Linked DNA regions of Xenopus tropicalis. The protein of the gene in region 2 purifies or fractionates together with the protein of the main gene of each other region. This does not show direct contact. Links are inferred from orthologs where the notes say so. Each region holds a gene or a part of one and is shown on either strand. Other genes may lie near its edges. The genes, in order: esyt1 and atl3.

Evidence for each region.
Region 1: the proteins of atl3 (region 2) and esyt1 purify together in Homo sapiens (affinity purification with mass spectrometry; 3 studies listed by BioGRID and IntAct, with this or other methods). This does not show direct contact. The link is inferred for Xenopus tropicalis from reciprocal best matches to the Homo sapiens genes ATL3 and ESYT1.

What each region holds. Positions count from the first base shown.
Region 1 is NC_030678.2:137,577,730-137,581,550, forward strand, and holds part of esyt1 (extended synaptotagmin-1), read right to left. Parts: intron 2,007-3,821; coding exon 1,872-2,006; intron 1,145-1,871; coding exon 1,071-1,144; intron 955-1,070; coding exon 882-954; intron 759-881; coding exon 669-758; intron 1-668. UniProt on the Homo sapiens protein: Binds calcium (via the C2 domains) and translocates to sites of contact between the endoplasmic reticulum and the cell membrane in response to increased cytosolic calcium levels.
Region 2 is NC_030680.2:36,371,716-36,376,326, reverse strand, and holds the start of atl3 (atlastin-3), read right to left. Parts: upstream 3,091-4,611; 5' UTR 3,079-3,090; intron 685-3,078; coding exon of another isoform or gene 683-684; coding exon 476-682; intron 1-475. UniProt on the Homo sapiens protein: Atlastin-3 (ATL3) is a membrane-anchored GTPase that mediates the GTP-dependent fusion of endoplasmic reticulum (ER) membranes, maintaining the continuous ER network. It facilitates the formation of three-way junctions where ER tubules intersect.

The DNA.
Region 1 (3,821 bases), on a different chromosome or scaffold from region 2:
CTACAGGTACTTGTAAATGTAATTGCTATAAAAAGCAAGATGTGTCTGGTTTATATATTCTCCACGCTGCTGGTTTTGACTTGTAGCAGAAGTCAGCTGTTTAACAGACCTGTAGAAGAAATGACTTCTGCTGCACTATTTTAACATTAAGGGCATTAAGGGTACATAGGGTGTTAGGTAAAAGAACAAAGTGAAACATACGCGGTGCGGCTACTTTCCGAAATAGGCCAAAGTTTCCTTGAGAGGCAACTCTGTGCTAATTTGCAAAGCCAAAGCAGCATTTGCAGATTAGTCGCCTGCGGTAGAGGAGATTCATTGAGGGGAGACTAATCGACTAGTGTGTCATTGCTCTTAGAAGCAGAACACAGAAAAGAATACACAAATACTGCTTTCGACCACAATTAGATTTACAAATAACAAACCGTTTTGGGTGGAGATCCCTTTAGCAGGACAAATGTTTGTGGTTTGATGGGTGTTTATGGTACAAACCTGCCCCAAAACTGAAACCAAGCTTTTTCTGCATATGTCTGAGTAAGTGTATGACAAACAATATCTACTACTATTATAATATGAAGAAAGGCACCATGGGAATGCAAGCCCTACATTTTATTTGTAAAGAATATATTTACATTTGCCGGCAACTAAGGCACCATTTATTAATCACCTACCGGACGACGGATGAAGAATAATGTCATGGCTCCAACAATAGGAACATCTCCAATTAGTGGTTCCAGGATAACACGGAGCATCCCATGCAGCTGTTAGAAAGGAAATTTTGTTTATAATTTATAAGGAAGGAAAAGAAATAAACAGTAATAAACAGAAAATGATTATTAGTGCACTGAAATGGGCTTTGCACATTACATCTGTGGCTCACATACCTGCATCCCCTTAATTCCAGCTTTGCAGAAATATTTCTTTACTTCTACATTAACTTCTATGTCACCAACATAACTACAGAAAAAAAAATGAATGCATTGCAGCAGGCAAAACAAAAAAATTACAGAAGAATGCCAGAATTAGATAACAGGAGAGTGAAGCACACATGCAGGCTATATTGTAACATATACCTGAGGTGCAAATCCAAGATTATCTGCTTCTTGTCAAATTCTGTATGAGCTTTCACTCCGGTTACCTTTGGAGCCTAGAGAGTAAATGAGGTGTTATGAGTTCAATATAACTGAAGAGTTAAAAGCTTGACATCTCTTACTGTCAATGGCACTAATTCTAGAATAGATCTTACACACATACAGATTTAATCAGGCCCGGGTTTACATATTGAGCACCTCAGGTCCATGTCTTGGCACGTCAAGCCCGCCACCCCCCACCTTCATGCCCAAAATTCAGTTGTCAGGTCTGGAGCAGTGGGGCTCAGTGAGCAGGACTCCTGCACTTCCCCAGTGCTCCGGACACAATTTAGATGCAGCTGGGTGGCATGCCACCCCTAAAGTCCTGCTGTGCTAGGCCTTGCCACAAATGCAGCCCTGGATTTAATGCCTCCTACAGATTGTATGTACAGATTGCAGAAAATCAGCAGTATAGGTATTTACCGGTACCTGAACTAGGCAGCTTTCTGAAGGTATAGGGTATAGTGACCCTTGAAACACTGTTACCTCTGTTCTACTTGAAGATCTATTAGTCTTACAAGGGTAACTACTCACTAGTACAAATGTGTCCAGTGTTGGTAAAACACATACTACAACTATTAAGCATAGGGAAAAAGGCCAAGTGATGCAGCCAATAACCAGTGTTTGGGGTCTTTTGTACTGTTATATTTTAAAAAAGAGTTCTTGTTTCCCTTGCCATCCATCATCTAACCATATGATGCAGGCTACTGTACTAATCCAAAGCATTAACATAACATTTCTTACCTTCTCACCAACATTGATCTTCGTGAAGTAGAATGTTGATAGATGTGTATTGCTGGCCCGGATTGTGGGTGCTATACTATCTGTGAGCAACTTCTCCAAATACTGTCCTATAAAAGGCCACATCTGCGCCACAATCTGAGAGAAGATTTAAAATAAAGTGCATAAATCTCAATTAAACTACACAGGCATTGCAACCTGTCTACAATTTTCCTTGTGCTTTCACAGGGGAAAACCCATGTATATATCTGCACAAGCATATTACAGGCAGCCCTACCTCAACCCTACAGATGTACACAAATATAAATGAAATGACTATAAACTTGCTCAGAGTTCTCTTTTGAGCACTTTAGTGATTTGAGCTGAACAAAAAGTATTTTTTTTTTTATTATCCCTTGCCCTAAACAAGGCAAACAAAGAGACTGAAGTTACTACATGCTTGGTCCTTGTGAAGTAGATTATTAGATTTCCAGTATACAACCCCCCATCACCCTTGGTTGTGACCAAGCACTTTTCATTGAAAAGTTGAAAAGGGATGTATACTGGCTCTTTAACAGCTAAAAAAAAATACAAAATTATGGTGAAACGATCGTTTAGCAAATTTACAATAATTTGATTTTTTGGTTTACAACTTTAAAGGAGACATATTGGATAAATGGGAAACCCCTAATTTTGTAGGCAATTATGAATAATATAAGGTGCTGGTTTCACTTTGTGCTAAAAATTAATCCAATCTGTAACAATGGCTCCCTATATATCCTATCACTTCTCTGTCCGAGTTCGAAATGGAGAGTGGGCGTGTCCTAACGGTCCCTGCCAGAAGCACAGTAGGGGGGAGAGCCAATCACAGCCCTGCACTCACACAAGCAAAGCCAAGCTTCAGTTCCCTATCAGGCTAGCCAAGCTGCTGATTGGTTCCTATCCTACAGTGCAGGGTACGGAGGGCTGCCGGTTCCCCAGCTCATCCAGAGAATTCAGCTAGCAGGAAGTGACACAGATGGGCGGGGCTAGTGGGGTTTGGGGGAATTTCTCAATGAATCAGTCTGAAATACAACTTTTTTAAGCACATTCCTTCTATACAGTGGAGGAAATAATTATTTGACCCCTCACTGATTTTGTAAGTTTGTCCAATGACAAAGAAATGAAAAGTCTCAGAACAGTATCATTTCAATGGTAGGTTTATTTTAACAGTGGCAGATAGCACATCAAAAGGAAAATCGAAAAAATAACTTTAAATAAAAGATAGCAACTGATTTGCATTTCATTGAGTGAAATAAGTTTTTGAACCCCTACCAACCATTAAGAGTTCTGGCTCCCACAGAGTGGTTAGACACTTCTACTCAATTAGTCAACCTCATTAAGGACACCTGTCTTAACTAGTCACCTGTATAAAAGACACCTGTCCACAGAATCAATCAATCAAGCAGACTCCAAACTCTCCAACATGGGAAAGACCAAAGAGCTGTCCAAGGATGTCAGAGACAAAATTGTAGACCTGCACAAGGCTGGAATGGGCTACAAAACCATTAGCAAGAAGCTGGGAGAGAAGGTGACAACTGTTGGTGCGATTGTTCGAAAATGGAAGGAGCACAAAATGACCATCAATCGACCTCGCTCTGGGGCTCCACGCAAGATCTCACCTCGTGGGTGTCAATGATTCTGAGAAAGGTGAAAAAGCATCCTAGAACTACACGGGAGGAGTTAGTTAATGACCTCAAATTAGCAGGGACCACAGTCACCAAGAAAACCATTGGAAACACATTACACCGCAATGGATTAAAATCCTGCAGGGCTCGCAAGGTCCCCCTGCTCAAGAAGGCACATGTGCAGGCCCGTCTGAAGTTTGCCAATGAACACCTGAATGATTCTGTGAGTGACTGGGAGAAGGGGCTGTGGTCTGATGAGACCAAAATAGAGCTCTTTGGCATTAACTCAACTCGCTGTGTTTGGAGG
Region 2 (4,611 bases):
TAGACCTGGGTGCAAAAGCAGTTCGACCAAAATATCACAAAAGTAATGTCAGCACTCACAGGATTTAAGTCATATGTGCAAAAAAAAGTCAATATTTATTGAAACATAGAAAAAAGGAACATTTCAAACCTCAACATTTCAGTCCCCCAGAGGGACCTTCGTCAGGAGACACTGTTTTTTGGCTATTAGGTAGCCTCTATGCACACTATCAGCTTACAGGAGGCTTTATTTGGTAGTAAATCTTGTTTTTATTCAACCAAAACTTGCCACCAAGTGAGGAATTCAAAAATAACTACCTGGTTTGGGGGCACTGGGGCCAACGTTCAAGGGGTTGGTGAGCAACTTGTTGCTCTTGAACCACTGGTTGGGGATCACTGGTTTAGAGACACATAGTCATAATAGAAATTAGTGATCTAAATCATCTGAAAGTAACTAGTGCAGATTCCTGAGCCAATTCAGTACCCTAGGATGTTACCTGGCTGTAGACATATCTCAGCATGAAGTCCAACAAGAATGATTTCCCTTTGCGGAAAGCACCTGCTACTGACACAACGACAACATCCAGATCACGAATATGATCCTGAAGTAGTACAGATGCCAGAGCTTCTTCATCCAGCTGGAAGGAATGGTCATCCTTTTGTACTAACACTACCTGGACCGGACCAGGTGCAGAAGAAGCCATGTCTGCATGCAGAAAACAGAAAGAGCCAAAAAGAAAGGAAGAAATGCTGTGTATGTATTTTATATTCAAACAACTCAGTAAGAACAAAATAATGCTATTGTGTACACAGGAATATACAGAGAAACATCATTACATTTTTCAAATGTAGTACTCTGTCTTAAAGAAGAACTAACCTACAAGCCCTGCTCTAACATACCAGTGCTGACAATGCAGTGTTTCCCAGCAATCCAACAATCCTCTACTTTTTGCCCACAATCACCAACCAGGAACATGTACATATTCTAATGTTGCCACAAAGCAGAGGACCAGAAGTCAAGCAGCCCACCATGCAGCACTGCATTTTCAGCATATCTGTATGATGGAGCAGGGCAACTCTGTGCTGGGGGTTGCAGGTTGTCTTTACTGAGGAGAAGGGGAGGCAGTGCACGGGAACCCAGGTTAAAGTTTGCATTTAGTTCTCATTTAAATATTAAAAATATAAATTTAAGACATATTAAATATATAGATTTTAAATAAATTTTTAGTCTGTTTCCTTTCTCACACCCGTTTCTCACATGCCAATCGTTTGCCATCCACCTTGTTTTCCACAAGCACCTTCAGGCACAGCATCCACCTGTCAATGCTCACATGGGGTGGGTTTTGCCCTGAAAATGCCCAACTTCGCTTTTCAGGCCAAAATCTGCCCCATATGCACATTGACAGATGCCTTGCTGTCAGTTGGTGCTGAAACACCAGATGTTCTCATGTCACTTGTGGCAGGTGTCATGTGTGTGTGACAGCAGCCTTTATCTTGGGTACCCTGATGCTGCTTTACTAAAACTGTCAGTGTTCTTTTTTTTTATAGTTTATCCTTTTATTTTTAATATAACATACATGAAACAAAACATCAAGAAAAGAGTAAAGAAAAAAATAAAATCGGAAAAAAAGGAAAAAAATTATATACCGTTGGATACAGTATTGCGGTAACATATTAAACATGTTTCAGTTTTGTTATGACAGATATACTAATAAATTAACATAGGTTTGGTTGGTATGACATAGATTACAGTTGTATGGCGCTAATCCATTCACTTATATTGTAGTAGGGTTGGAGGTAGTGTAGAGGTTTTTTAGGTGATTATTGCTTGGGGAGTTTGCTAGGGAATTAAAGTCATCCGCATGTGTAAGTTAGGGTATTGTATTTTATGCCAGAGTACCTTGTCCACCTAGGCCCGCCTCCCACCATGGGCTCCAAATTTTCTCAAACTTCTTTTTGGAACCTCTGGCTAACAGAGTAAGTTTAATGAGGGGCAGAACTTGATTTACCAGGGTGATCCAGTTTTGAACCGTAGGAGGTTCAGGTCCCATCCAAGCCATTGCAATGATTTTCCTGGCATAATATAGAAGTGTCCTATATCTGGTTCTAGCATAGTTGGTAGTTATTAATTCATCTAGGATTCCCAGTATGCATATTTGGGGTGTCAGAATTTTGGGGAATTCTAGTTTATCTGCTAGGACACACATAACCTCAGACCAAAATTTGGCTATTTGTGGGCACGACCAGGCCATGTGTAGGAAGTTCGCCTCTTCCATTCACTGTCAGTGTTCTTTAACATATAGTCAAAGGTAAAAGAAAGCTGAAAGTTGTAGTTGTAGTAATTAGAAAAGAGTATTTTAATGACTAGTGATAGCAAAAAGTAATTGCGTAGTACAGAGTACTTTTTTTTTTTAGCAAAAGAAAGCCAAAAATTCATTTTCTTTGCAAAGAAAGAAAAAATCTAAACACCTTTGTAATATACATGCATAAAAATGTTTCTGTTGTTTACAATTTTATTTTAAATGTGTTTTCACCTAAAAGTGGTATCTATATTCCTTTCTCTTTCTGCACTGCTAAAACAACACAGAAAATCAGTTCACTTCCAGCTCTGTTCCTTACTGGCTTCTGGCACATTGTGCGAGGAGTCGGAGCCAGCAAGGTGGAGAATGTAAACAGTCAGCAAAGTACCGCTTTCAATAGCAATAACTCTTATAAATAACTTATTATAGATCCTTTACAATCTGCATGTAATGAAGAAAAAAGGCAGACACTCTTGGGATTCAACATACTTTGTTGCAACCCACTAGAGTTTATATGTAAACACACAAAAAGTTATCTACAGTTATGCTGGGCACTCAAACAAACAATCTTTATGGACACCGACTTATTAGTAAGAAGTTACCTCTGTAATGGCTTTTATGCTCATGAATTGCTGTCACCAGCAAGCAAAAAGAAAGTTAAAATATTGCAAAGTATGAGCATGGCTTTTTCATTATACAGTGACAGAGAGTCAGAACAGACGACATATTATGTAATTCTCATAACCTATTAATGTCAGCATACAGTTCCCCAGAAATAAATGGTTGAAATTGCATTTTACCTCTTATAAATGTAATTGTATCAAAGCTGCAGAGAGACCCTCACTGTTCCGTGCCTGGCCTGAAATCAGGGCTGGGCGTGTCTTCACGTTCAGTCTTCCACAGGAAGTAGTCATAATTGTGAGTGACTGGTACAAATTCTGCAATAGCAGCCCAAGTCCCGCCCCTTGTCTTTGTGCTACTAGCCCAGTCAAAGTGGGTCACTGTAAATGAGGGTAGTGCAGCTGCAGTTTTGCTCCAAACTCAAGTGTTCTATTGTCTCACACTATCATTTGTTAGAGCTTCTCATTCTCAGCAATGTCTTTGGCTTTAGGCACATAGTACTGACAATCAGCTTTTCTCCAACAGTATATTCTCACAGGCAAGAAAAGCTGATACATTCCCATCCAATCCTTTTTCTTGGTGCACTGACAGTTCTAGTGTCAGTCTGTGAACGCACAGACATTTCGCTGCAGAAACACAATAGAATGCATTCACAAGGGTGAATGACAGTAAGCACAGCACTGAACACAGATGATACATAAACTGCGTTCCGTCTGCGATTGGCAACCCATGTGTGAGAGCCCTTATTTGCAGGTATTCTACTACAGTCTCCCATGGCAGTGTTCAATACAGCAGTGACTCAAGGAACACACTTTCTTGTCATTATTTAATTTGACATATCAGGAAGTGGCATTGTGGCTGCCACAGAAAAACAACTACCTTCAGTCTTGGAGAGAGACAGCTCTAGTTCTGTGACAGCTGGAGGGCCACCTGCTCACATGGGGTAACAAGTTTCCAATAGCAAACAAACACAGGTGACATAGACACGGGTATTAAAGCTGCCTCCTCACACCTGACTGGTGTCAGCGCTCATGTGCCAATCATATCTAAGTGGGGTATCCCTTTAGCTCAACTTTACTGGTTAGTGTCTTTATATAGGTACCAGAGGATGTGCGCAGGTCAGAATAAGAACAAAATTATATGGCCATCAGCTGTGTATCAGAGCCAAATTTGAAGTATGTACACCCCTAGGCTGTAGCAAAGCTCATCACTAACAATAGAATTGCGGTAGTGGGGACTGGAAGGGCGGAGAGTCAAATAGCTGTTTAGATCTTCTGTCTGCCCAATCCCAAATGTAGATGAGGCACGGTGGCATGCTGTCCTCACAGTCCTCCTGATGCCCTAGGCCCAGGCCTTTGTGGCCTTTCCACAAATATGTGCCTGGTGTCTATAAAGAATATATGGCCCTGGGTGGTGGCAACCTTGTATGAATTGCTCAAGTATACAAGAAGAAAGCATTTATTCAATCTGCTATCCTTTCACCCCAAAATTGTGCACTTCCCGTCTGACTACAGCACTGACCATCAGATTACAACATTTATAGTATTACACAAATATTCAGCAAGATATTGTGACAAAAGACAAAAGGTGACAAAAGACAAAATCACATACCTCACATCTGTCTAATCAGACTGTATGATTACATAGCATTGCACAACAGTGCATTGTAGAAAGGCACCAGGGCACTTAAAGGGAAGGTGAACAACAAGGCA